Alligator mississippiensis: one gene and its partners. The protein of the gene in region 3 interacts with the protein of the main gene of each other region in a pairwise test. Links are inferred from orthologs where the notes say so. Each region holds a gene or a part of one and is shown on either strand. Other genes may lie near its edges. The genes, in order: FOS, IPCEF1 and CYTH4.

Evidence for each region.
Region 1: the proteins of CYTH4 (region 3) and FOS interact in a two-hybrid assay, tested with the Homo sapiens proteins (2 studies listed by BioGRID and IntAct). The two-hybrid records come from large-scale screens. The link is inferred for Alligator mississippiensis from reciprocal best matches to the Homo sapiens genes CYTH4 and FOS.
Region 2: the proteins of CYTH4 (region 3) and IPCEF1 interact in binary tests that used the Homo sapiens proteins (3 or more experiments, as listed by UniProt). The link is inferred for Alligator mississippiensis from reciprocal best matches to the Homo sapiens genes CYTH4 and IPCEF1.

Annotation. Positions count from the first base shown.
Region 1 is NC_081825.1:261,360,833-261,367,857, reverse strand, and holds FOS (protein c-Fos), read right to left. Parts: upstream 3,061-7,025; 5' UTR 2,716-3,060; coding exon 2,578-2,715; intron 2,072-2,577; coding exon 1,826-2,071; intron 1,704-1,825; coding exon 1,596-1,703; intron 1,479-1,595; coding exon 855-1,478; 3' UTR 65-854; downstream 1-64. UniProt on the Homo sapiens protein: Nuclear phosphoprotein which forms a tight but non-covalently linked complex with the JUN/AP-1 transcription factor. In the heterodimer, FOS and JUN/AP-1 basic regions each seems to interact with symmetrical DNA half sites.
Region 2 is NC_081824.1:133,246,761-133,254,633, forward strand, and holds the start of IPCEF1 (interactor protein for cytohesin exchange factors 1), read right to left. Parts: upstream 3,004-7,873; 5' UTR 2,728-3,003; intron 2,500-2,727; exon of another isoform or gene 2,396-2,499; intron 1-2,395. UniProt on the Homo sapiens protein: Enhances the promotion of guanine-nucleotide exchange by PSCD2 on ARF6 in a concentration-dependent manner.
Region 3 is NC_081827.1:100,459,853-100,467,908, forward strand, and holds the start of CYTH4 (cytohesin-4), read right to left. Parts: upstream 3,013-8,056; 5' UTR 2,351-3,012; coding exon 2,332-2,350; intron 1-2,331. UniProt on the Homo sapiens protein: Promotes guanine-nucleotide exchange on ARF1 and ARF5. Promotes the activation of ARF factors through replacement of GDP with GTP.

The DNA of each region.
Region 1 (7,025 bases), on a different chromosome or scaffold from region 3:
CACCAGTTTCACCACACTTTACAGTTAGAGAAGGACCAGAAAAGACTCCAGAGCAGCTCTCACATTTGACTTAAATGCTTTTTATTGACAACGTCTCTGAACAATAATAAGCAAACAATGCTTAAGAGTTTCATCCAAGTTCACTTTCCACATGTCCAAAAAAGACCTCAAGGTAGAAAAAAATAAAATAAAAATATAAATATCTGAGAATCCATCTTCATAAATAAATTAAAATGCACAATAAAAACGTTTTCATGGAAAACTTATGTCAGAACATTCAGACCACCTGGACAACGCATGATCAGTAAGAGAACAATGAATATTGATGTTGAGCTACAGTACATGGATATAGCCATTTATCTAATCTACTAGAAAATAAAGGAGAGTCTCTTTTTGCCCCCCCCCCCCCCCCCAGTTAAGATGGGTCATTGCTAAGTCATCAGAACACGATATTGCCAGGGACACAGTAGTTATTGTTAGATCAGCTGCACTAGATAACGAGTTGGAGAAACCCAGCACCAGGTTAAATTCCAAGTCATGAAACCAAGAGCTATTCATTAATTAATGCTAGTGATACTAAGGAGGGAAGGGGAGTCACCAACCCAGCCATGTTGGACATGCTACAGACTACCAGCTCTCATGGATGGGGCACTGGGGACAAGACGAACTCCATGCGATTGATTTGCTACATCTCTGGAAGAGGTGCGAGGCCTCCCCGAGCAGCACCCCGCAAGGTCCTGGAGCGCAGGTCCGGGCTGCCCCTGCCCAGCTGGGGTCGAGAAGGAGGCGGAAGCCCCCCTCAAGCAGCAGCAGCAGGGGGCTGGGATCCGGAGTCCGTGCCCTGGGCCCGGCTCTCACAAGGCCAGCAGCGTGGGGGAGCTGAGCGAGTCGGAGGAGGGCTCGTTGCTGCTGCTGCCCTTCCGGTGCGCGGCCGCACAGCTGGGGAAGGCGTCGGCCTCGGGGTAGGTGAAGACGAAGGTGGAGGTGTAGGCGCTGGGGCAGGGCGTGCAGGTCACCACGGGCGTGCAGAGCGGCTCCAGCTCCCCGCCAGCGCCGGCGCCCAGCGCCTCCCAGTCCGCCGCGTAGAAGGCCGAGGAGCCGGCCAGGTCCATGTCGGGCACTGAGCGGGCGGTCTCGCGGGACGAGTGCGGGAAAAGGAACTCGTCGAAGGGCTCGGCTTTCAGCTCCAGCCCGCTGGCCTTGGGCGGCTCGGCCGGGATCGGGGCCGGGGCTGGCTCAGGCATGAGCGGCAGGGCGAAGGCGGCCTCCTCGGGCTCGGCCTCGGCCTGCGGCGGGCTGGGCACTGGGCCCAGGTCCATGGAGGCAGCCGCCAGCTCCTCGGGGAAGCGCAGCTCATCGGGGATTTTGCAGGCAGGGCGGTGAGCGGCCAGGATGAACTCCAGCTTCTCCTTCTCCTTCAGCAGCCCCGCGATCTCGCTCTGCAGCGCTGACTTCTCCTCCTCCAGCTGGTCCGTCTCCTGCGGGGCAGAGCGTAGCGGGCTCAGGCGGCGCTCGGGAGCCGCGCCGTCGGGGCAGCGGAGCCCGGCAGGGCCGGGGGGGGGGGGGGGGGGGGGGAGAAGGCCGGAGCCACTTACCGCTTGCAGGGTGTCGGTCAGCTCCCGCCTGCGGTTGCGGCATTTGGCAGCTGCCATCTTGTTCCTTTCCCTCCGGATCCTCCGCTTCTCCTCCTCCTCGGGGGACAGCTGGGGAGAGGCACGAGCGCCCGTCAGTCCCGCTGCCAGCCCTGCCCGCAGCCTCCGGGAGAGCCGGGACCGCGCGCCCAGACCCCGTTAATCCCCCCCTCCACGGCCGCGCATTCATTCACCTGCTCGACTTTGCCCCTCCGGCCAATGCTTTGCCCTCTGCCTCCGGTGGCCTTGACGACCGGAGCCCTGGAGTAGGTGCTGGCGGGAGCAGCAGGGACGCCGTAGGGGTGAGCCCGTGTCTGCGACGGGGCCACGGACGAGATCAGGGTAGGCTGCACCAGCCACTGCAGGTCGGGGCTCGTGGAGATGGCGGTCACCGTGGGGACGAAGTTGGCGCTGGAGGCGGCGAGATCCGTGCAGAAGTCCTAGAGACAGGGGAGGAGAGAAGCGAGGGTGAGCCAGAGCCGCAGGGAGGCAGCGGGACTGAGCCCGCACCCCCCCAGCCCCAGCCCCTAGAGGCTCCCGAGCGGCCCCCGGGGCCAGGCTGGCTCGAGCGCTGCGCTGCCATCAGCAGACTCCACATGAAAAGGGGGTTGTTATAAATATCTCTGACGTCTGCACTGACGCAGGCGCCGCTCCGGAGTCTCCTCAATGAACTCCCGTTTTATCAATGAAACCGCTTTACACACCCGCCGCAGAGCGCACAGCGCAGCCCGGCCCGCGGTCCCACCCCCCCACTGACCTTCCCCAGGGCCGGGCAGCATTCCCATGCGGCCCCGTCCCGGGGCTGGGCTGCAGCGCTGTCCTCCCCAGTGCACCGGGCGGAGCAGGGCACCCCGGGCAGCTCACGCCCGTCCAGTCGGTGGTCCCCGCGCCCGCAGCTTCCCCCCCCCCGCCCGCCCCTCCCTTGCACCGCTGCCCCGGGGCTCACCGGGGGGTTGGCGGGCGATCCCATGCTGGAGAAGGAGTCCGCCGGTGAAGGGTAGTAGGAGAGGCTGTCCCCGGCCGGGGAAGCGCTGCTGCAGCGTGAGGAAGCCGCGTCATAGTCAGCGAAGCCCTGATACATCATGTCGGCGAGGCTAGGATTGTACAGAGCCCCCAAGTGCGTTGTGCCGACTGTGTCCGCGCTCGGCGTCCCTCGGGCTGCGGAGGGGGGGGGGGGGGCGTCTCTGCCGGCTACGCGTCTGCGCTCCGAGCCCGTCTCCCGTTCACTCTGCAGCGCTCAGCTGTGGAGTAAAGCTCGGCGCCTCCGCCCCTTTATAGTCAAGGCTGGTGAATGGTCTTACATCATGGGCGGAGCCAATCCGTTGGGCGGGGGAGCCGAGGACAAGCTGCCCTTGTGGCCTCCCCGGAGCCCCCGCGGGGCTTTCTCCTTTCTCGTGCACCCTCGACTCGTCTGTCGCGCTGTGTCACGGGGGTTTTCCCCGGGGTCTCTGGGGCTCTCGGCTCCTCAGGGGCGGACAGAACTTCGGATCCCCCCCGTCCGCTTTGGTACGGCCGGCTCGGGAACCCACTGACGCAGATATCCTTATATGGGATACATCCTGTGCAAGGGGGTGTGACTGACGGGAACCGCTCCAGGCTGCAGCCAAGTGCGGCTGGTTTGAGAGAGAGAGAGAGAGAGAGAGAGAGAGAGAGAGAGAGAGGCGGGGGTGGGGGGAGACAGGGAGGAGGAGAAGGGCAGCTGCAACAGCAGTGGCTGTGTTTGCACTTTGATCAGTGCGGTGCATGGCAACGCCAGGTCCCCTGCTGGGGGGATACCCAAGAGGGAGCTGCACTGCTGCAGTCAGACCCGACCCCCCCACCACCCCCAAGCCTCCCCAGAAGAATTCTGCTGCTTATAGAGACACCTTGCAGCTCTCACTCACCTTCCACAGCCAGGGAGAACTTCCTCGGCCCAGCTCCTCCCATCAGCTTCAACTGCTTTTTCACAGTTACTGCCACTATTTATTGGTGGTTTTGAATCGAAACCAGCTTGTCACTTTTCCACACATTTGAAAATAGCTCCCTGCCCAAAGAGTAGCTCCGTGGTCTCATCTGACAAAATGTGGAGGAAGGCTGGGAAGGGGAAATGCAGCATGAAGGCAAATGGGGTGACTTTTTTTACTCCTGTCAAAAAATATGGCATATTTTTTCATGTTATAGTAGCTTTCTTGCTGTCTGTGACAGTGGTTAGAGAAAAATAATCACCCTTATAGGGTTATAGAGTTATAGAGAAGTAAGGCTGGAAGGGGCCTCCAGAGTAGTCCAACCTCCTGTCTGACTGAGGCAAGATCATCGCTATCCAAACCATCCATAATCTAAACTCTACATAAGGCTACCCTCAACCCTGACACAACCAGACCTAACACCCCTTATGATTACTTAGTGGTTATTGTGTTCTGCTGGGGGAGACTTTTATAGCAGAGAGCTGAAACAGTTGCTGATGATTCAGGACAGGCTACTAGTTGTGTGTGTGTGTTGGTTTTGTGACAGTCTGACTTTTGCCCTGATTTCCCTCCCCCCTGTGTATTTAAGCAGGCAATGTTTTCTACTAAATACTTTTAAGAAATGGTACAGTATATCTCACATTTCATTTTGGAGGTGTTTAGGATTTAAAGTCATTAAATGCAGGCATTATAATGAGGCCATTAATGCTGTGCAGATTTATCGTAAATTAATTCAATTTCCTCCATCCATGTAACTATGTTGTGTTGTTTGGTTCTGCCTTCATAGAAAGTCTGGAAGATGTCTTCTGCCTACGTCTTCAAACACATGTATGACATCTAAAGTGTTGGAGAAAACGTGACATTTCTGGAGGGGAGGCTGCACAATTTTGTGTAGTGTCAACTTGTGACTGGGGAAACTTCATTTAATAAACTGCTCATATTTTATTTTCTTTCAACTTTATACCCACTGTAACTGTTGGGGAGTCCTAAATGCCTCTCACTCATTTTTGCTGTGCTGGGTGTGTCACTACATTCCTCCTCCAAGATACTCTGATCCCAGTTCAGTCTGAATCCTAATGATTAGATCGGGAGAGAAGCAGATTGCAAGGGGTAGTTTCAAGGGAGTGGAGATGAAGAGGCCAGTGATCATCACACCCCATGGTAACAAGGTGATCCTAGGAAAGAACAATGGTCACAGGTTGTGACTCAGTTTCCCTGATCCCTACTGAACTGGCCAAGGGCTCCTTATCTCAAAGGAATGGGTAGGAACACAGCAATCTGAACCTGAGCTGTATAAAACTCCCCCACACAAAGGCAGAGGGGTGGAAGTCTGGAACTTGCTTCAAGCCCTGAGGACTCATTCACTCGCCACCAGGTAGTGAGTGAGTATGTCTGTATATTCTCTGCTGTATGGAGCTGCTCTGGTTAATACTGTCTGATTAATGACATCCCAATAATTCCATATATAGTTTGGAGAAACTTCCTCTGGCTTCTCTTGTACTTCTCTAGATAAAATAAAAGCCCTCAGAGACATCCTGGGTATAACATAAAAGAGTGGTGTTATCTAGGGATTATTTGTGTTTAAGGCCTGATGTTAAGATCTATATAAATCAGTGGAAAAACTATTGAGTATAGCAGGGTTTGGATCAGCCCCATTCTGTGGGAGCGGTTCAGTCCACCCACAAAACTATCCCTTCACCTACACCCCTTAGAAGAGCAATGTGTAGTATCCACGCAAGCAGCAGCTCCAGTCTGTGTGAATGCAGGAGAAGCCAGATCATTTCCCCATTGAGTTCTATGTTTAAACCGATTTTCATTACACCCTAAAATCCAACAACCTAAGCTAAAAAAAAACAATAAAAACCCAGGAAGGTTTGCTGTGAGGGCAGGTGGGGATCACTCATGGAAGGCACGTGCACATTCCTTGTTAATAAATCTGGGTGGCTGGCACAGACGGTTTTCTCTGCACAGATCTGGCTGGGGTATGGCAGAAAGCACGTGTGGACAGAACCTGGAACTTACTCCACTTCCTGCGGGGGGAAGGAAATTACATTCAGGCATGATTACTTATGTTCTTACTATCTAGGCACAATAATAGCTGAGAGGGAAGACTCCAGTATAGGGCACTGGGGTAGGGGTTGGGGGGTGGAGTGCTACAGGCTGGGCTTCTCCAGGGAACTCCCCAGAAAGCTGAACGGGATCCGGGAAAGCGAAGGGACTTTGAGGACATGGCCAAGGAAACCTCTGTCCCCTCCCCTTTGTTTTGATCCTTGTTTGTTGCAGGGCAGGCCCAAGACACCCACCCACAGTGGGGATGTCAGGCAGGCCTGGCTCAGGTCAGGCTCAGCCGGGAGCCAGACCGCAGACTCGCCTTGCTGTGGAGCCAAGAGATCGCTATAGATAGTAACAGGGAAGCTGGTGTAGCGAGTCTGTTTACGGCAACAAACAGCCTACAGCACAGTCTCCAAGCAGAGTGTCACCACACTGGGCTGGATGGAGTCCTGCTGGCAGCCCTGCCACTGCCTGAGCTCATGGCTAAATGCAGCGCCTGATGCTGCTACGCGGTCACCTCCATTCTTAGAGATCTGGGCCACAAGGGTGGGGGAGCTGGGCCAGCTGCTATTCCTGAGCTGCCCGGCAGAGCAGAGGGGACAGCCAGCCACTGAGGAGAGATCCTTTCCCAAGGCAGCCAGGAGGCTTCCCTGAGCTAGGGCTGAGCTGCCTGGGTCCCAGGGGAGCTGGGCACCCCAGCCTCAGGGCTGTGAGAGCCTCGCAGTACTCTGCTTACCAGCCTTGGCAGTATCCACAGCTGGTTGGACTTTCTGAAGCCAGAGGTCACAGCTGGAGAAGCCCACAGAGTCCCATTTAGTCCAGCCCTGAGGCCCAAGACAGACCAGACCCTAGCAGAGCAGAGCAGAGCAGAGCAGGACTCCATTCCCATGTGTGAACCCCAGCAAAAAAAGATAGACCAAAGAAAACTCCAACCCAGAAACTACACCTTGATGGCACCAAGCTGAGCAGCCAGTGTCCATATGCCCTGCTATACCCTGCTGGTCTCCCTGCCTGACACCCCGTCCTTCCCAGAGGAAGGAGTATCCTCGGAGAACTCCATTCTTGCCAGGAGTCTCTGGCAGGCATCATGGGAGCTGCCTGCCTCGTGGCACTCAGTCAGGCCCAACTCTAAGTGCAGGTCTTCTGTGCTCAGAGGAGTCTTCACTTAGAGGAGTCTGGCACTCAGCACTGAGCTGCCTCTACAAACCATCAAGGAAGGTTCTAGAAACCATCGAGTCCATGTAGGTGAGTTCACAAAATATTTGTTGACATGTTTGTTTTGGTCGTGCACATGGAAGCCAGCCACCTGCTCTGTTTGCAGCAAACGGAAAATGTGCTGATGCTGCATGTATGTAGCATGTGCCGAGAAAGCCAAGGAAACAGAGAAACCGAAAACACA
Region 2 (7,873 bases), on a different chromosome or scaffold from region 3:
ACGTTCCTCCATTCCTTCCTTGGAAAAAGTTGTTTAAGAAGAGCTTGAAAAATTGAGAGATCTTTTTGTTTTTACTAATGAGGTGATAACTGCTGTGTAAGCCCCTGCTGGCTCCCTTGCTGACCAGCAAGAAGGGGTGGGGAACCCTCCTTAATCAGAGCATCCTGCCTCAGCTCAGTACTGTGGAATGAAAGGGAGGGCTGCTCTAGTGCCCCCCAGCTTCTAGCCGGAGCCACTGCAGGCATGTGCCTGCATTTTTTCAATCCAGAGGGGATGTCTGTGTGGTTACATGATTCAGCCTAGGCTGGTTAGACTAACCTGCAAAGATCGAATCAATTCAGGCTCAGGCTTTTTGAATGTCTGTCCCTAGCCCTCATGTCCAGAAACAGAGGCTTTCTTATAAAATTTTTCATCTGCTCAAATTTCTGGACCAAATTCATCTTAGATGCATTTGTACATCAAGCTCCTTTAGTCTGAAGGCTTTACCTGTCCTCAGAAAGAGTCTTTGTGTAATACATTCCTATTATCCTGCATGTTCACTCCCTTAGAGATTCTAAACAGGAAACTGAAAACAAAAGCTAGCGTTTCTCTAGCAGTTCTGAGGTCAGGGATTGAGAGGAAATCTGGGTTCTCCTGACAAAAAAGCTTACAGGGAACTTCCACAAGGTGGCAGCACCTAAGAACATTATGCTGCTGTTAAGTTAATCTTTTACATTGCTGTATTCATGGGAGTAAAAGGTCAGTAACGATGCTCTGCTGGAAGGCAGCAGCATGCTCCAGTTAAATGCAAATAGCTACATGCCAGTGTTGCTACACAAAACTGCTTACTTAATAAATGCACCCCGTGTATGCATAAATACACTGAGCACATATTGCATAGTAGTATATTTTTGAAGCAAATAGAATTTTTTCTAGACCTATCTTTGGATCATCTGCCTTAAGTATTCAAAAAGAGCAATTCTCTAGGATTTATCTGTAGCCTGACCCCATATAACAAATGTAAAGCATTACACAACATCACCTCTTCTAGCTGTGATGTGTTTAGCTATTAACTACTTTCTAAACCGTGAAGGATTTATAGCATACACATAAGTCCTGTTTTATTCAGTGTGTTATAGCAGGAATGACTACCATTAAAAATATTACTCATGATGTGACAGGTGGTTCAGTGACCCACCTGAGCCAAAGGAGAGATTGGGTGGACCTACTACTGTCAGGCAGAGTTCAAACTACAGAGAACTTTTATCAAGATGCTCCCTTGCCTGGTCTCTGCTCTGAATGCCAAAAGGGTCAGGATAACAGGTACTGCTATTAATACATAAAGGGAGTTAGAAAATAGCTTTTGTATATGTTCCCATCCACTGTGGGTGGCCAGACCTTGTTAGAAGCTGGTTAAGATGGAAGAGTGTTGAGTTATATAATGTTTTAAAAGTTATTATTGGTGTTACGCAAAATTATCAAGAGAGTAGTAGTTATAACCAGCTCTAAATTCCCTGAATAATATTCAAGTTAAGCATTTAATAATCTTTCCTAGTTCTACCCTACAATATACACAGGAGCTATGAATAAAATCAAACATGCCTAAATATATACTCATCTTAAGAGCCTGGAGAGGGGAGGGGAGGGGGGGAATGAAAAAAGTGTCACAAAAATCAAAGGTCCTGGCTAAATAAATATAAAGATCATATATCAGCATAATGTAAGCAATTGTAATCTACTACAGTGGCACTCAATCCTTTGCCCCCACCAGCCAGTTGAGAGGTGTCGGCCCAGTCTCTGGGCCAGATCAGACCCCATGTGCCAGGATTGGGCTCTGAGGGTGCCATCCCACCTCTGCCTGGTCCCACACGTTGGGATCAGGCTCTAGGAGCCCTGTGCCATCTCCATCCATTCCCATGTATGGGTATTGTGCTCCAGGGGCTCTGCACTGCCCCTGCCTGACCCTGCACACCAGGATCAGGTCCTGTACTACCCCACAGGCCCAATCTAGTGCGCAGAGTCACGGCCCATGGATGACATTGCACTGGAGGCTGGATAGGGACATGAGATGGGGGCTGAACACCACTAATCTAATACAAAGCTCCATCTCCTATAGATCTCAACTTCTGCAGTAGTGGAGTTGACAATCTAGGGAACTCATTTAGCCCCAAAACATAGCACAGCTAAGGTGTGGAATAGTGACATCAAACTACAAATCACAAACCTCTCTTATACAACTGCCCAATATCACAAATCAAACTAAGCATGCCCATCTGACAGAAAAAGAAACACAGGAGAACTATATTGTTAAGAAAAATACCAAGCAAAAAACCAGTAAATATCCAGGGAGAAAAAAGTATACAAGAATCTTAGAGATGCTAGAAATGTATTTTAAGAATTAACAGATTCTACCAACCTCTACAACAGCACTTTATAAAGTAGTGATCACTGTCACTGCCAAAAAAACAAAGGAAAGATACCAATGCAATTGCCCTTATGCAACAAAATGATGGTATGAAGTCAGCAGCACGTTACAGTCTCACTAAATAGAGAGCAATCCCACCCTATTCCCCCTTAGTAATACTTTATGGGTTCTTAACCTCAGGTGTTCTCCATAAAGTAGGAGCCTGACCAAGAAATTAGCTTTTTGTTTGCATTGGAGGTCAGTCAGAGACCTTTGCAGGATCAGAACTTAAGTGGTTGGCATTGACTTGACATATAGAATTTTGGCACTAAAAATTGAGGTACCTTTGTGATGAAGGACAGTCCAGTTGCTAGACTTCTATCTAAGTACCCAGGGATGCCGCTTTTCTTGCCTTCTCCATCACAGACTGCCTCTTGAAACACTGAACAAGCCACTTAGTTTCTCTTTGGCTAAATTTTCCCTAAGATGGGGATATTAACACTTCCCTGCATCATCTATAGATACCATGAAGATAACCTGTTACAGACAGCCAAACTGTTGAGAGGCTATAATTTGGAGGCCCACACAAGCACCTTAATCAGTTAGATAGCCATTCTACAGTCATATTCAGTCAATGGCAGAGTCTACTTCCTGACTAGCAGAGTAAGTGGGGAAATTTAAAGAGAAAAGGGCATGCTACAGAACTATGGTGTGTCACGTGTAAAGGTTTATCAGGTGTTCTTAACAGGTAACAACTTTAAGAAGGGCGAAGGCTCTGGAAGGAGCTGTGTCAGCAAGATGGGAAGCACCTGATGGGGCTTAACCAGGAGATAAGCCCAAGGCCAGAGCTGGGGTAGGCAGTCTCATCCTAGCTGCTGACATCCTGGCCCTGAGCAAGCAGCAGAGGGAGACTCTACTCTCCCAGGGGTTAACAGAAGGCAGCCTTAGAGCTGACATAGGGTCAGAGATATGCAGACACAGGGTGCTGCGATGCCCCTGAAGAGAGACACTTATTGAATGGGACACAGAGCATGATTAGCAACATCTGTGAGGCATGGGCATGGTGTAAGGGTCAATTGGAGTCATGTACTGCACTCAGTAGTGACACCTGAACAGTAGCATGGGATCAGGGATCTCTGGGGCAGTCTCCCTTTCCAAGGATGGAAACAACCTTGGAACAAGGCATGGCAGGTGAGGTGAAGGGGAGCAAGCCTGAGAAGCAAGAGCAGAGCAGGGGCCAAGCAGCCACCAGTGTTAGGGACAGACATTCAAAAAGCCAGAGCCTGAATTGATTCAATCTTCGCAGGTTAATCTAACCTGCCTAGACTGAACTGTTCTGCAAGTGAATAGATACTCAGGAAATACAGGCACATGCCTGCAGTGGCTTAAGCCAGAAGCTGGGGGCGGTGCTAGAGAGCACCCTCAGCTGCAGGGAAGCTGTGCTGGGGTGGGGGGAGGAAGAAGAGGGGGGACATGGACAACCCTGGCAGTAGCTTCAGGGGATCTGGCCAGGGAGGGGGTTTAATTCTCCACTCCTGCCCCATCAGCACAGACCCAAGCTGGGGTCCACCTGGCACTCCCCTCTCACTTTTGCAGTGGTGGAGGCAGGGGCAGGGCCAGACACTGGTCAGCATAGCCCTCTGAGGCAGAGGGAACAAGAAGGGGGTTTATTCCCTACCTCCACCCCCTTGGGACCACAGCCAGGGTCTGTCCACCCCGACTGCTGCTGATCACTCCCTGTGTGGGGCGAGCAGTAGAATAAGCCCCCTCCCTACCCCCTCCACCCGATGCCAGAGGGAGGGGAGAAATAATCCCCCTCCCTTCCCCCTCATCTAAGGGGGCCATGCCAGCTGGCCTCTAGCTGTACCCCAGCCCCTGCTGCTGGAGTGGCAATGGGGAGTGACCCTGGCAGGATAGCAGCCCCTCTCATGGTTTCCTGGGACATCAAGGCTCTTCCCAGCTGGGGCCTATGCTTCAGGCGGCGGCAGGTAGAGCAGGGCAGGCAGAGCTGCCACAGACTGGGTGGGGTAAGCACCGGCACCGGGGCTCAGAGGGGTGGCAATAGCCCCCCAAGGCCTCCCACACACTACTGCCACTTGCCCCATGCAGTCTGCAGCAGCTCTGACCGCCCTGCACCACAGCGTCCCCCACCAGGAAGAAGCTTTCACTCCCTGGGAAACCATAAAAGGGGTTCTTGCCCCCATCACAGTCCCTGCCCCTTTGCCACTCCAGCAGCAGGGGTGGCGGCATGGCCAGAGGCCGGCCAGCATGGCCCCTTCAGGCAAGAGTGCAGGGAGCGGGTTATTTACCCCCTCCCTCTGGCATCTCATAGAGAAGGCAGGGAGGGGGCTTATCCCACCATTTGCCGCATGCAGGCAGTTGGGGCAGGCAGACCCTGGCTGCAGTCCCCCAGGGACAGAGGGGCTGGAAGGGAAATAAAACCCCTTCCTGGTCCCTCTGCCTCAGGGGGCCAGGCTGGCCGGCATCTGGCCATGCCCCCACCTCTGCAGCAGCAAGTGGGGAGTGCCAGGTGGACCCTGGCCCAAGTCTATGCTGGTGGGACAGGGAGGGGGGAAATTAAATTCCTCTCCCTGCCAGTTCATTTGAGGCTACTGCTGGGGCTGGACACATCCCCACCACTGGAGCAGCAAATGGAAAAATGCCGGTCAGGGTCTGCTGAGCTCCTGCCTGTTAGACCCTGCTGGGGTCCATGATAGTAGGACAGGGGAGGGACAGAGGGAAAAACCTTTTCCCTGACCCCTTTGCCTTAGTGGGGCCAGCGTCTAGCCATGCCCCTGCCCCTGTCCACCGCTGTTCCAGCTAGGGAGCAGAGAGCACAGCCTCACACAGGGCTACAAAGCATGTCAGGATGCTGGGGGACTCTGGTTTAAGTTAAACCAGCTTGAGCTCAACCAGTTAAGTCTGATACGACATTCAACCAGGTTTATATTAAACCATTCTCAGCCATTTTGAAGGTGGTTTATGTGCACTGAACTTACGTTGTGTTACAAGTTTAAACCAGTTTCTGGTCACTTGAACCGGTTTATGTGTAACTTCTGTGCCTAGCCCAGGGGACATTGTGGTCACCCCTAGGAACAGTGCTTTGGTACAAAAGGCTAAACCCTTCCCCCACTACCCCACCTAAAATAGCTCATTAGCCTGAAGACTTCTACGATCAACTTCTCATAGAAGTTCCCATCCAGTGGCTATTCAAATAATACTTTGCCTCTCCATTCAGATCTCAGAGCTCATCAGGAGAAGATGACAGAATCCATGTGCAAAGAACTTATGTAAGGAAAAAGTAGGGTTTCTTGCCATGACCTTCCTTGTTGGGCAACACACCCATCTCCCCCCACTCCCCTTCCCCACCCCAAATCCAGGAATATTCCCATTTATTGTAAATTCCTCTGCCACAAAACCTCTTTGAACATGAATGGTGTTTTATCTATCTATTCAATACTACCACAGAGAAAAAACTTCTTCCACTTTCTAAAAGGATTTTATTTTACCTGCTGTCCTTTCTCCAATTTTACCCAGGAAATATTTGGATTTGTGAAGCAACTACTTGGTGGCAACTGCTATTGGTCCCCTCCCCCACTGGCCCATTTGAAACTCATTTGAAGACTCAAATGTGTCAATCAGTAACCAGGAGAAGCAGAAACAAGAACAGAGCTATGACATAGGCTAGGAATGGATGGGAGGACTGAGATAGCTAGACATAGCCTTACTAGCTTTACACTGTAAAAAGCCATGTATTACAAATACTCTGAGTTTTTACTGACCATTTAAAAACTTCTGACAGCAAATGGCCTCGGAGATTTTACAAATAATTAATCTTTGCCTGAACTGCTGAAATTTACCATGGAAAGTGAAGTTTCTTCATGCCCCTTTCCCACTGCAGTACCATTAAATATTTATATTATCACCTGAAGCCTTCAGCCAGGATCAGGGTCTCATTCTGCTGAATAAACAATAGAAGACATGATCTTGCCTCAAAGAACTGACAAAAGCAAGCTTGAAAGGGCAAGTGAGTGGATATTTGTTTTGTGTAACTTATGGCCCTGTAACGATGATGGGTGAATCCTGTCCATACATACCTGAACCAAGCCATTTTAGGCCTCTGCCAAAATGATGATTAACTGAACTCTAGAGTATTTAATAAAATTGATTATTTTTGCATGTATCATTAAAGACAGGACTCAGACTCAAAGTGGGGAGAGTTGTTTAAAGTTGTGTAAAGCCCCTGCTTATAATCTTGTATCTTTCAATTAGAGCCAAGAAAACTGGTTTTCAATTTCTTTTCTTCTGTGATCTGCCACAAATAGCAAACTCCCCCTCCTCCTCCTCCCCCGCTCCAGTCTTCCCAGTTGGTATTGTTTATGTGGACATACAACCATGGCAAATTCCAGAGCTATATTTTGTGGCTTTCTGACTCGAGGATCATTCTGAAGTAGTTCTCATTGGCTATTCTTCCAGCTAAATATTTACACACACATATACACTGAGCATAACTTTTACTTATGTGCATGGGCAAAAGCTCAGCATATTTCACATAATTTTTTAGAGGCTACATGTGTTTCACATCATGACAACATGTTGAAAATATGTGCCTACAAAACACATTTTAAATGTATTTATACAAAACACTGTGTGCTTATGCTGGAGGTGTTTGCTATATATAGAAAAACCAAAGATTAGATTTCCTGTTCTCATTCCTTTCCTTCACAATCCTGTCTCATTATTAATCATTTTCAGGCTCTTGTTATGGCTTATTTGTACATTAAATTTAAGTGAGATAATGTTTATGTTTAAAAAAGAGCATAAGGAAGCAAAAAAACAATTGATGTGGTAGTAGCCCCTGAGCAAGCAGCAGAGGGAGATGTTTCACCCAATTCACTTTTAAAATGTGACCTCCTGCTCCATATATAAGGACCTATCAATTAAAAGGCCATTTCTGATAGAACCTGAAAGCATAGCTGAAACAATTAGAGTGAAGAATGATTATTAAATGCATTTGTGGTGGGTTTAAAATCTTTTTTTTAAAACAAGTTGTTTCATAGTTGGTAGGGTCGGAAAGGACCTAAGCAGATCATCTAGTCCGACCCCCTGCCATGGGCAGGAAAGGATCCTGGGGTCAAATGACCCCAGCTAGGTAGCTGTCTAGCCTCCTTTTGAAGACCCCCAGGGTAGGAGCCATCACCACTTCCCTTGGAAGTTGGTTCCAGCTCCTAGTCACCCTGACTATGAAGTAGCGCCTCCTGATGTCTAGTCTGAGACTAGAAATGTGACTAGAAATAAATAATGTGACCTTCTCCTCACATACTGGAATAGTGTTATAACCTGATGCAGTCACAATTCAGTTCCTCAGCTTTTTAAAATTTGGTTGATTTGGCTGTTGCTTTTGCTTTATGAAAAAAACCATAAGGGATCTGTAAAGTCATTGAAATCTCCCTCTGTGAGAGTCAAGAGTATTTGTTCATAACACTTCCA
Region 3 (8,056 bases):
CTCACCTAACGGAACCAACGTCTCCATCTGCATACAGTTCTCTTGTATAGCAGCACACCCAGTGTAAGTCCACAGCACAGGTGAATGTGTCTACCTTTCCACCTCAGCCATGGACTCTGATGGAAGCTGAGGCCCACTGGTGGCAGAACAATTTCTCCAAAAACTACGGATCAGCAAGCTTTTATCACTGAATGAGCCACCAAATCAATGTAATCTCTTGATCCCTAGACAATGCCTCTGACACAGAGAGTGAGGCTGGCTTTTGAAGTGGTGCTGGCTAGCTGTGGTCCTGGGGTAGCTAGGCATTTTTGCACTGCTTCAAAGTAGGTCTTCTGCAACTGGTCCATCATCTCGTTCTGTGTTTGTACAGCGCCTAACATCACAGGATACTGGGGCACCACTCCAGGACAAATCCCAAATGGTAAAAAGAACTCATTCTGTCTATTCACAAAAGTAGGACAACTTCCCTTACATGGCAGACAATGCATTTGGAGAGCCACGTTTTCCTTGAACAACTAACCTGAAAAAAATATGTCCCTGCTTTGTACAGAGAGGTGAGGGCTCTCCCTGCCCTGGTTTTGCTAGTCTATGAGCTGGTTGCAACACTTCCTTTCAGGCACTAAGGGCCTGATTTTCCTAAGAACTCTAGTCCCCTTTAGACAGCTAAAGGAAGTGGCCAGAGACTGAGAAGCGCTCAGTGCCCAGCCTCTCTTGCAACAGCTTGAGAGAACTTCAAGGAAATCGGGCCCCTTGGTGCAGGATTTGACGTGGGGACCAGAGGGTTTTCAGCTCCCACTCCTTGTTCATGGCCTTAGCTATGCCATCTATGTGGATGTGAGGTGATATCAGAGACAGATGGCAGCTGTGTCCTTGTGTTAAGATCCTTTGTATTTTTCCCCCTGGAGAAAGTGTGTCCTCTCCCTTGAAACCTCATGTCCTTTCTCAGCATGGGTCACACCCAATATCTGCCTTTTGGGATTGCCTCCAGAGCACCTTTGTCTACTAGATCCCAGGTCTGCTGCACTGCACCCAGCAAACCAGGAAATCAAAGAGTTTTGATCTTTCTCAGCCCCTGGGTTTGTGGCTAATTTCCTCCCACCTACTTCTGCCTCTCTATACCCCTCTAAAACAACTGCTGCAAGGAAAGCGAGAGATTCAGGCTGATCAATCTTTCTTCTTCTCTTGGGGTGGGGGTGGGGGCAGGTGGAAAAGTATTTAGCTGTGCTATCCTAAAGTCAGGTAGAGGCAGGGCAGGGTGGCACTTCAGGTTGGTGTTTCTCAACCAGAGCACTGCAATATACTTTTAAGGGTGTCCTGCAGTGCCATGTAATATTAGCACTGTTAGGTGTGCAAAAACCTTCACAGGATGAGCAGAGAGATTTTAAAATAGGAATCCATAGTGTCACAGATATTTTGACCTATTGTGGTTTTCCTGAGTTCTTTGCAACAGAAGAATTGCTCTATTATTTTTCTGTAGTTAAAAAACAAGTGAAAGCTCAAAGCTGGCATTTTCTGAGGGGTCCTTGAATCTAAAAAGGTTCAGAACCACTGTCCTAGAGAGTGACTGGTTCAAAGAAGCACAAGCATTTGTCAGCAACAGACTGCTTCATCAGGTGCTAACAACCCTCCTCTCTGGGGGGCTGATTTATTATTACTGTGCCCCAGGTAGTCACTTGCAATGCACAGTCGGTGCAGATTTGCACCACATGAAGACACTGGTAATTTACAGCCACTGTCCACTGGTCTGATCCTGGTAGAAATGACTATGCTGGGTGCAGTGCAAGGGTGAATCAGCCCTGCCTGGTGCAGGAGGACTATGTTGTAGCATTTGCAGTCTGCTCTTTCTGCACCTCTATTCCTGTCACGCTGAGGCTACATCAAAGGAAACCATTGTCTGTAGTCACATGTTGACCACCATCCCAAGTGCCACGTACTCCTGATACCCTAGCTTGGGCCAGGAAAATTGCACTCTACCCTTTTGCCACCTACCTAGGCTGAGGGTCAGCCTCTGAATACAGTTCTGACCCAGCTCCAATTCAAGTCGGTAGGGTGACACTGGTTGACGTCAGGGAGGAACTGTCTGGAGGTAGGGGGGGAAGCCAATACCTCGACAGAGAAGACACCTCTCCCTATAGCACATCGTCCACAAAACTACAAGCCCTTTGCAGAGCTTCTAAGAAACCTCTTGGCTATGTTCACCCGTCCCATCCCCATGGCAGCTGCTAGCCCTAATTGAGTCAATCTGACCTGACAGCATTTACAGAATGAGCAGCACTTTGATCAACAAGGCAGGGAGAAGATGTGGCCAAATCTCTTTAAGGAAAGACTTACCAATGGGACAAACATCCATGCTGAAATGTCACTCAGAGGCAAATTCTCTTTGTGCGACTGCGAGTTCCTCTTTCCCCGCTGCTCTTTCAGGCGTCTGGCAGAATTAATGCGACTTCACCCCAGAGTCTAAAATTGTGTCAGCTGGAGGAGCTGCGGCTCCACCCCCTGGTTCCTCCCCACAAGCTCATATGGGTGAGGGAAACTACAAGCTCCGACTGTTAGAAGCACGCAGACTCCGGTTACTTCTTACATAAAAACCCACAAGAGAAAGCCAGTGTGTCTTTCCATTGGCACTCGCTCAGCTCATTGCTGGGGGTGACTGTGCTCTGGTTTTATCCAGCCTGCTCTAGAGACAGAGGGAGCATAAAACAGCTGCCTTAGGGTGTGGTTTTATGATGGAGAAAGACTCCCCCCCTACCACAACTCAAAGTAGCTCAGCAATTGGTAGAGAGTGGATGAATATTCCAATATTTGTGTGGGCCTCCAGTAGGTTCCTGTTGCCAATGAAATGACATGACCTGGATCCTTTACTCCCATCTCAAATGCGTTCTCTTCTGACTAGCATCATCAGGAAGGAGTGGATCGAGCCTAGAGTTGTCCCAGTATGGAGGGAGTGTCCCAGTATGGAGGGAGCTGGCACTGACCTGACCCGAGCTATGTCTGCTCTGATGAAAAATAGAGGGCTTTAGCTGGCAGAGCAGTCAGTCTCTCTGTCACTTACTCTCTTCCTCTCTCTCCAGCCCCGGAAGGCTGCACACTTCCCCTTAAGCTAATCACTCTTGGTTGCTATGTCCGTGGTCTTTTGTACGTGACAGCCCTCATAACTTCTGCAGGAGGGGCCTTCATGCCCACACAGAAAGCTCAGCAGCTGGCGTGCACACCTTGAGATCCCCCTTTCCAAATCAGCAGGGCAAAGAATCAGCACAGACTAAGAAAAATCTAGCACATGAGGAGTATGGCTGTCTGGGCACAAAGCTTTCCCCTTGTCCAAATTACAGCTGCAAATGTTGAGAGGATGCCACTTTTCCATGCCCAATGGGCATGGGCCTGGCAAGACTCCCACTGCTTTGACAATGCAGCAGCACCCTGCTCTGTATCATTCTGGGCCATTCCAGTTTAGCCTCCCAACACCGTCAACAACACAGCAAGATGGTATAACCACCGCCTCTAAACCTAACACTGGCCTGGCATCCTGCCAAGAATCAAACACTCTATGATTGTGAGTGACTGGCATCCTGAAGACCATAGCCAGGCAGCCCTAGGGAAGACTGTGAATAGCTTGTGGTCTTTAGGATGAATCAGCAACCAGTCTTCACCCTTCAGATTCCATAGTCAAGGTTGTCTTGCAAGGAAGATGGCTACAAATTTCCTTTCGGAGGGGGGTGAAAAACGTTGTCCAGTGTAAGCTACCATTTATAGGTCCCTCAGGTGAGAGGAGATCCAACAGAACAACCCTGCAGGGGACCCATATAGATCAAGCAATGCACTGATCAGTCTTGACCTCCTGATTTCTCCATCAATCCAGTCATATAGAGAGCTCTGCTGACAGACCTCATTTATACCGACTGAATCCCTCACTCTCCAAACCTGTATCTCACACATTTCCCTGTCTTTGTCCTGGTGTACAGCTTACTGTTCCAGTACCGTGATCCCAACACAGCTCTACTGAAGAATTCACTGCTCACTTTCAGGAAACCATACCACGCCACCCCAGGACTGGATACCCCACCCTGATGCATTTCAATTGTGGCATGTAGCACCCATTGTTATTCCAGTCTTGACATATTGGCCAATAGGGCTGTGTGAAGCAGAAACATTTCATCTTGACCAATGTTTTGACAGAACAGTGTTTCATTTTGACTTTTATTTTGAGTTGAAATGGCAGTTCCATTTCGTTCCGTCGAAACGTTTTGCTGTTTTGACCCTGTTTCGATGTTTCGCCCATAGGATATAATGGGGAAGGTTGAAACAGGCTACAATTTTGTGATTTCTGGCCAGATTTGGATGAAACTTGCAAGAATAGTAGTATCTTCTGAGGGCATGACGCATGCTAAGTTTCAAGAAGATAGGTACATGGGGTTCAGAGAAAATGCACCCCAAAATCCTGAAAGTAAAACTTGTGTCATGTGTATGTGTTAAGACACAGCGGGGTCAAAACTGCAGGCTTGCTAGCCCCTTCTGAGACTACAGAGCCTGCTAAGTTTTAAGAAGATTGGTGCAGGGCTTTGGGGAAAACTGCACCCCAAATTCTTGAAAGGAAAGCTCATGTCACATGTATGTGTTAAGCCACAGTGGAGTCAAAACTGTAGGGGTGGTAGCCCCTGGTAAGGCCACAAATCCTGCCAAGTTTCAAGGTGATAGGTGCAGGGGCTTGGGGGAAACTGCACCTCAAGCTGCTGACAGGCAAAACTCGTGATATAGATAACCCTATGTGTGTTAAGGCACAGCGGGCTGAAAACTGCAGGGGTGGTGGCCCCTGCTCAGGCCACAGAACATGGCAGATTTCAAGAAGATAAGTCAGAGGTGGGCAAAATGTGGCCTGGGGTCCGGATGCAGCCCGCCAGGCCATTCTATCTGGCCTGCAGGGCCCCTAAAAAATTTAGAAAATTAATATTAATCTGCCCTGAGCTGCCTGTCATATAGCCCTTGATGGCTTGCCAAAACTCAGTAAGTGGCCCTCTGCCCAAAATAATTGCCCACCCCTGTGATAAGTGCAGGGCTTTAGGGAAAACTGCACCTCAAGCTGTGGATAAGCAAAACTCGTGACATGGGTGCTTGTGCACCTGTGTCTGTCTTCGGGCACTGGAGGGTGGGGGAGGGACTACTGCAGGCCTGGCTGCTAAGCTACTGTGTTACCAGTTACCAATTAATCATGATTCACTCAGGGACTAGCTCAATACACAGGACCTAGCTACTACATAACAACTTAACAAGCATGGATTAACACCTACAAAACCACAGACTAAGGAGAGGAAATAATCAATACATACAATCAACGGCCCCAAGACAGACTCAGTCAGTTGCACAAGCACCCATTTCACAAGTTTTGCCTGTCAGCAGCTAGAGGTGCAGGGCCCCAGAAACCCCCTGCACTGATTTCCTTGACAGCTGGCAGGTGTCGTGGCTGCAGCAGGGGCTACCACCCCTGCAGCTTTCACCCTGCTGTGCCCTAACACACACAGTGTCACCCATGTCACGAGTTTTGCTTGTCTGCAGCTTTGAGTTACAGCTTCCCCCAAACCCCTGCACTTATCTCCTTGAAACTTGGCAGGCTTTGTGGCCTCAGCAGGGGCTAGCAAGCCTGCAGTTTTGACCCTGCTGTGGCTTAACATATACATGTGACATGAGTTTTGCTTTCAGGATTTAGGGGTGCAGTTTCTCTGAACCCCCTGCACCTATCTCCTTGAAACACAGCAGGCTTTCTGGCCTCAGCAGGGGCTAGCATTCCTGTAGTTTTGACCCTCCTGTGGCTTAACACATACAGAGGACACATTTGGCTCAGGATTTTGGGGTGCAGTTTCTCCAATCTCCCTGCACCTATCTTCTTGAAACTTGGAACTCTTTATGCCCTCAGAAGAAGCTACCATTTCTGCAAGTTTTATCCAAATCTGGCTAGACATGGCAAAACTATAGGCTGTTTTGACCTTCCCCATTATAGCCTATGGGCGAAACGTTGAAACAGCATCGAAACAGCAAAACGTTTTGACTTGCCTCATTTCATTTCAAAGCTGTTTTGGCCGTATCTGTTTCATTTTGATGTTGCTGTTTCAACCTCAAAACAGGTCGAAACAGAGTCAAAACAAAACTGGTGGCAAAATTTCGCACTGCCTTATTGGCCAATACACCTCACTCTGGCTCTACAGCACCTTCTGCTACGCACTCCTGGCTCCTGACCCAACCCAAAAGAGCAGGTGCGCTCACTAATCACCACGTCCCTTCTATACAGGCATAGCAATAGTAAACAACTGTCAATCCTTCTAAACCATGGTGTACGCATGAGATGTCATCAGGACCTTTGATGCATACACCTAGGCAGGAGTATGGAGAAGTCGAAGCTGTCTAGACCTTCCATCCCCCTTTAGACAGTATCCAAAGGCCAGACCAAATCTGGAACCTCAATGACTGTAGTTACATGCACATCTGGGAAACCAAACCCAGGTCTCCTGCATGACAGAACAAGGGTTTTACCACTGAACCACAACAGCAGGTTATATGGACATAAATTTTAACAAAAATATATAAAAAGGGACATTGACCACTACCTACAAGGGGAGAAATTCTATGTATGTTCTACTATTCCAGGCTTAAGCTCTAAGATAGAAGATCATCTGTTTTGTGGAACCATGTGGTGTCTTTATAATGCAGCTAGACGTCTAGCACATACTAGCGAGTGTGGCACTGGAAATTGTGTCCTTATGTGGTTTGGCATCCAAGACAGGAAGTTTGGGGAGGGGGTGTAGGAGCCTATTTTTTATAAGGCAGCTGCAGCTGAGACCACAAACAAAGCTGATGCCACAACCTGCTTTGTCTCAGAGTGATGCCTGAACACCACATGGCACCAAAAGGGAAAAAATACGTTGATAATATATATATTATTGGTCCCAAATTGCTGATAGTCTTTGGAAATGTGGAAGGCCCCTGGAAGAAGTTCAAACAGCACGTTACTCTGCCCCAGAAGCAGTGGATGACTGTAAAGGGGAAGACTTATTTTTGGCAACGGTCCTTGATGTGCTTAATAGTTTTCAATTAACTCAGGCAGAGACCTAACTATGAAACTGGAGTGCAGAAATTTGAGGATTACTGTACTCCAAGTAAAAAAGAAACATACTAACAATGTGGCTTTTATCAGAGAGGACAACAGGAATGTGAAACTGTAGTGGGGTAATCTGAGGCCAAAGTTGTTGCAATTTTTGCAGGGATAACTACATTGGGATTTTGAACAAAAAAAAAAAAAAAATCAGAAAGGGATTCCTGGAAGGCCCACAATGAACTCCTAGCAAAGAGCTTAAGGTTGCCAGGAATGGGAATCACCTTGTCCAGAATGAGGCGTGCAGAGTGTGGACAGTGCAATATGATGGAGATTCCAAAATACCACAAAAAAGAGATGTGAAGCAGAAAAACACAGGGAACTCAAAAGTCAGAGACCAGCATGAACAGCAGCATGAGGAACTGAACATGCTGCAGCAACCTGCTCAAGCCACAGCAATGCTCAGCAAATGGGAGGAGATGGAAAAAATCTGCAACAGGTTACAGCCCTTTTCAAGAGTATGGTAGGCCAGCAAAGAACATGCAGCATGGACAAAAGGAGTGTCCTCTCTAGCTCATATGAATTTCTCACAAGAGTGGTAGATAGGGCTGCAGCACAAGATGAGGGGACTACAAACCTGAAAGCAAACAAGGCACTTATTACCTTTAAATTGGACACTGGTTCACAAGTCAAGGAGTTGTGAGAAACACCGTTAGCAATTCTAAAAAAAGGCACCGATAGGAGGAGATAAACAGATACCACTCAAAGCTTACCGTGGAGAGTTTATTCCCACTTAAGGATTGTGGGAACTAGATGTATGAGTAAATAATAAATTGGAAAAGAAAGGGTTTGTAACAGTACCGTGGAAGAGAGTACTCATTATTGGGTTAAAGTGTGTCAAGTCCTTGGTCTCATCAAAAGGCTGTACTCATTGGAGGTGAAGAGGGATAAACACTTAAAACAGAGTCTGAAGACTTT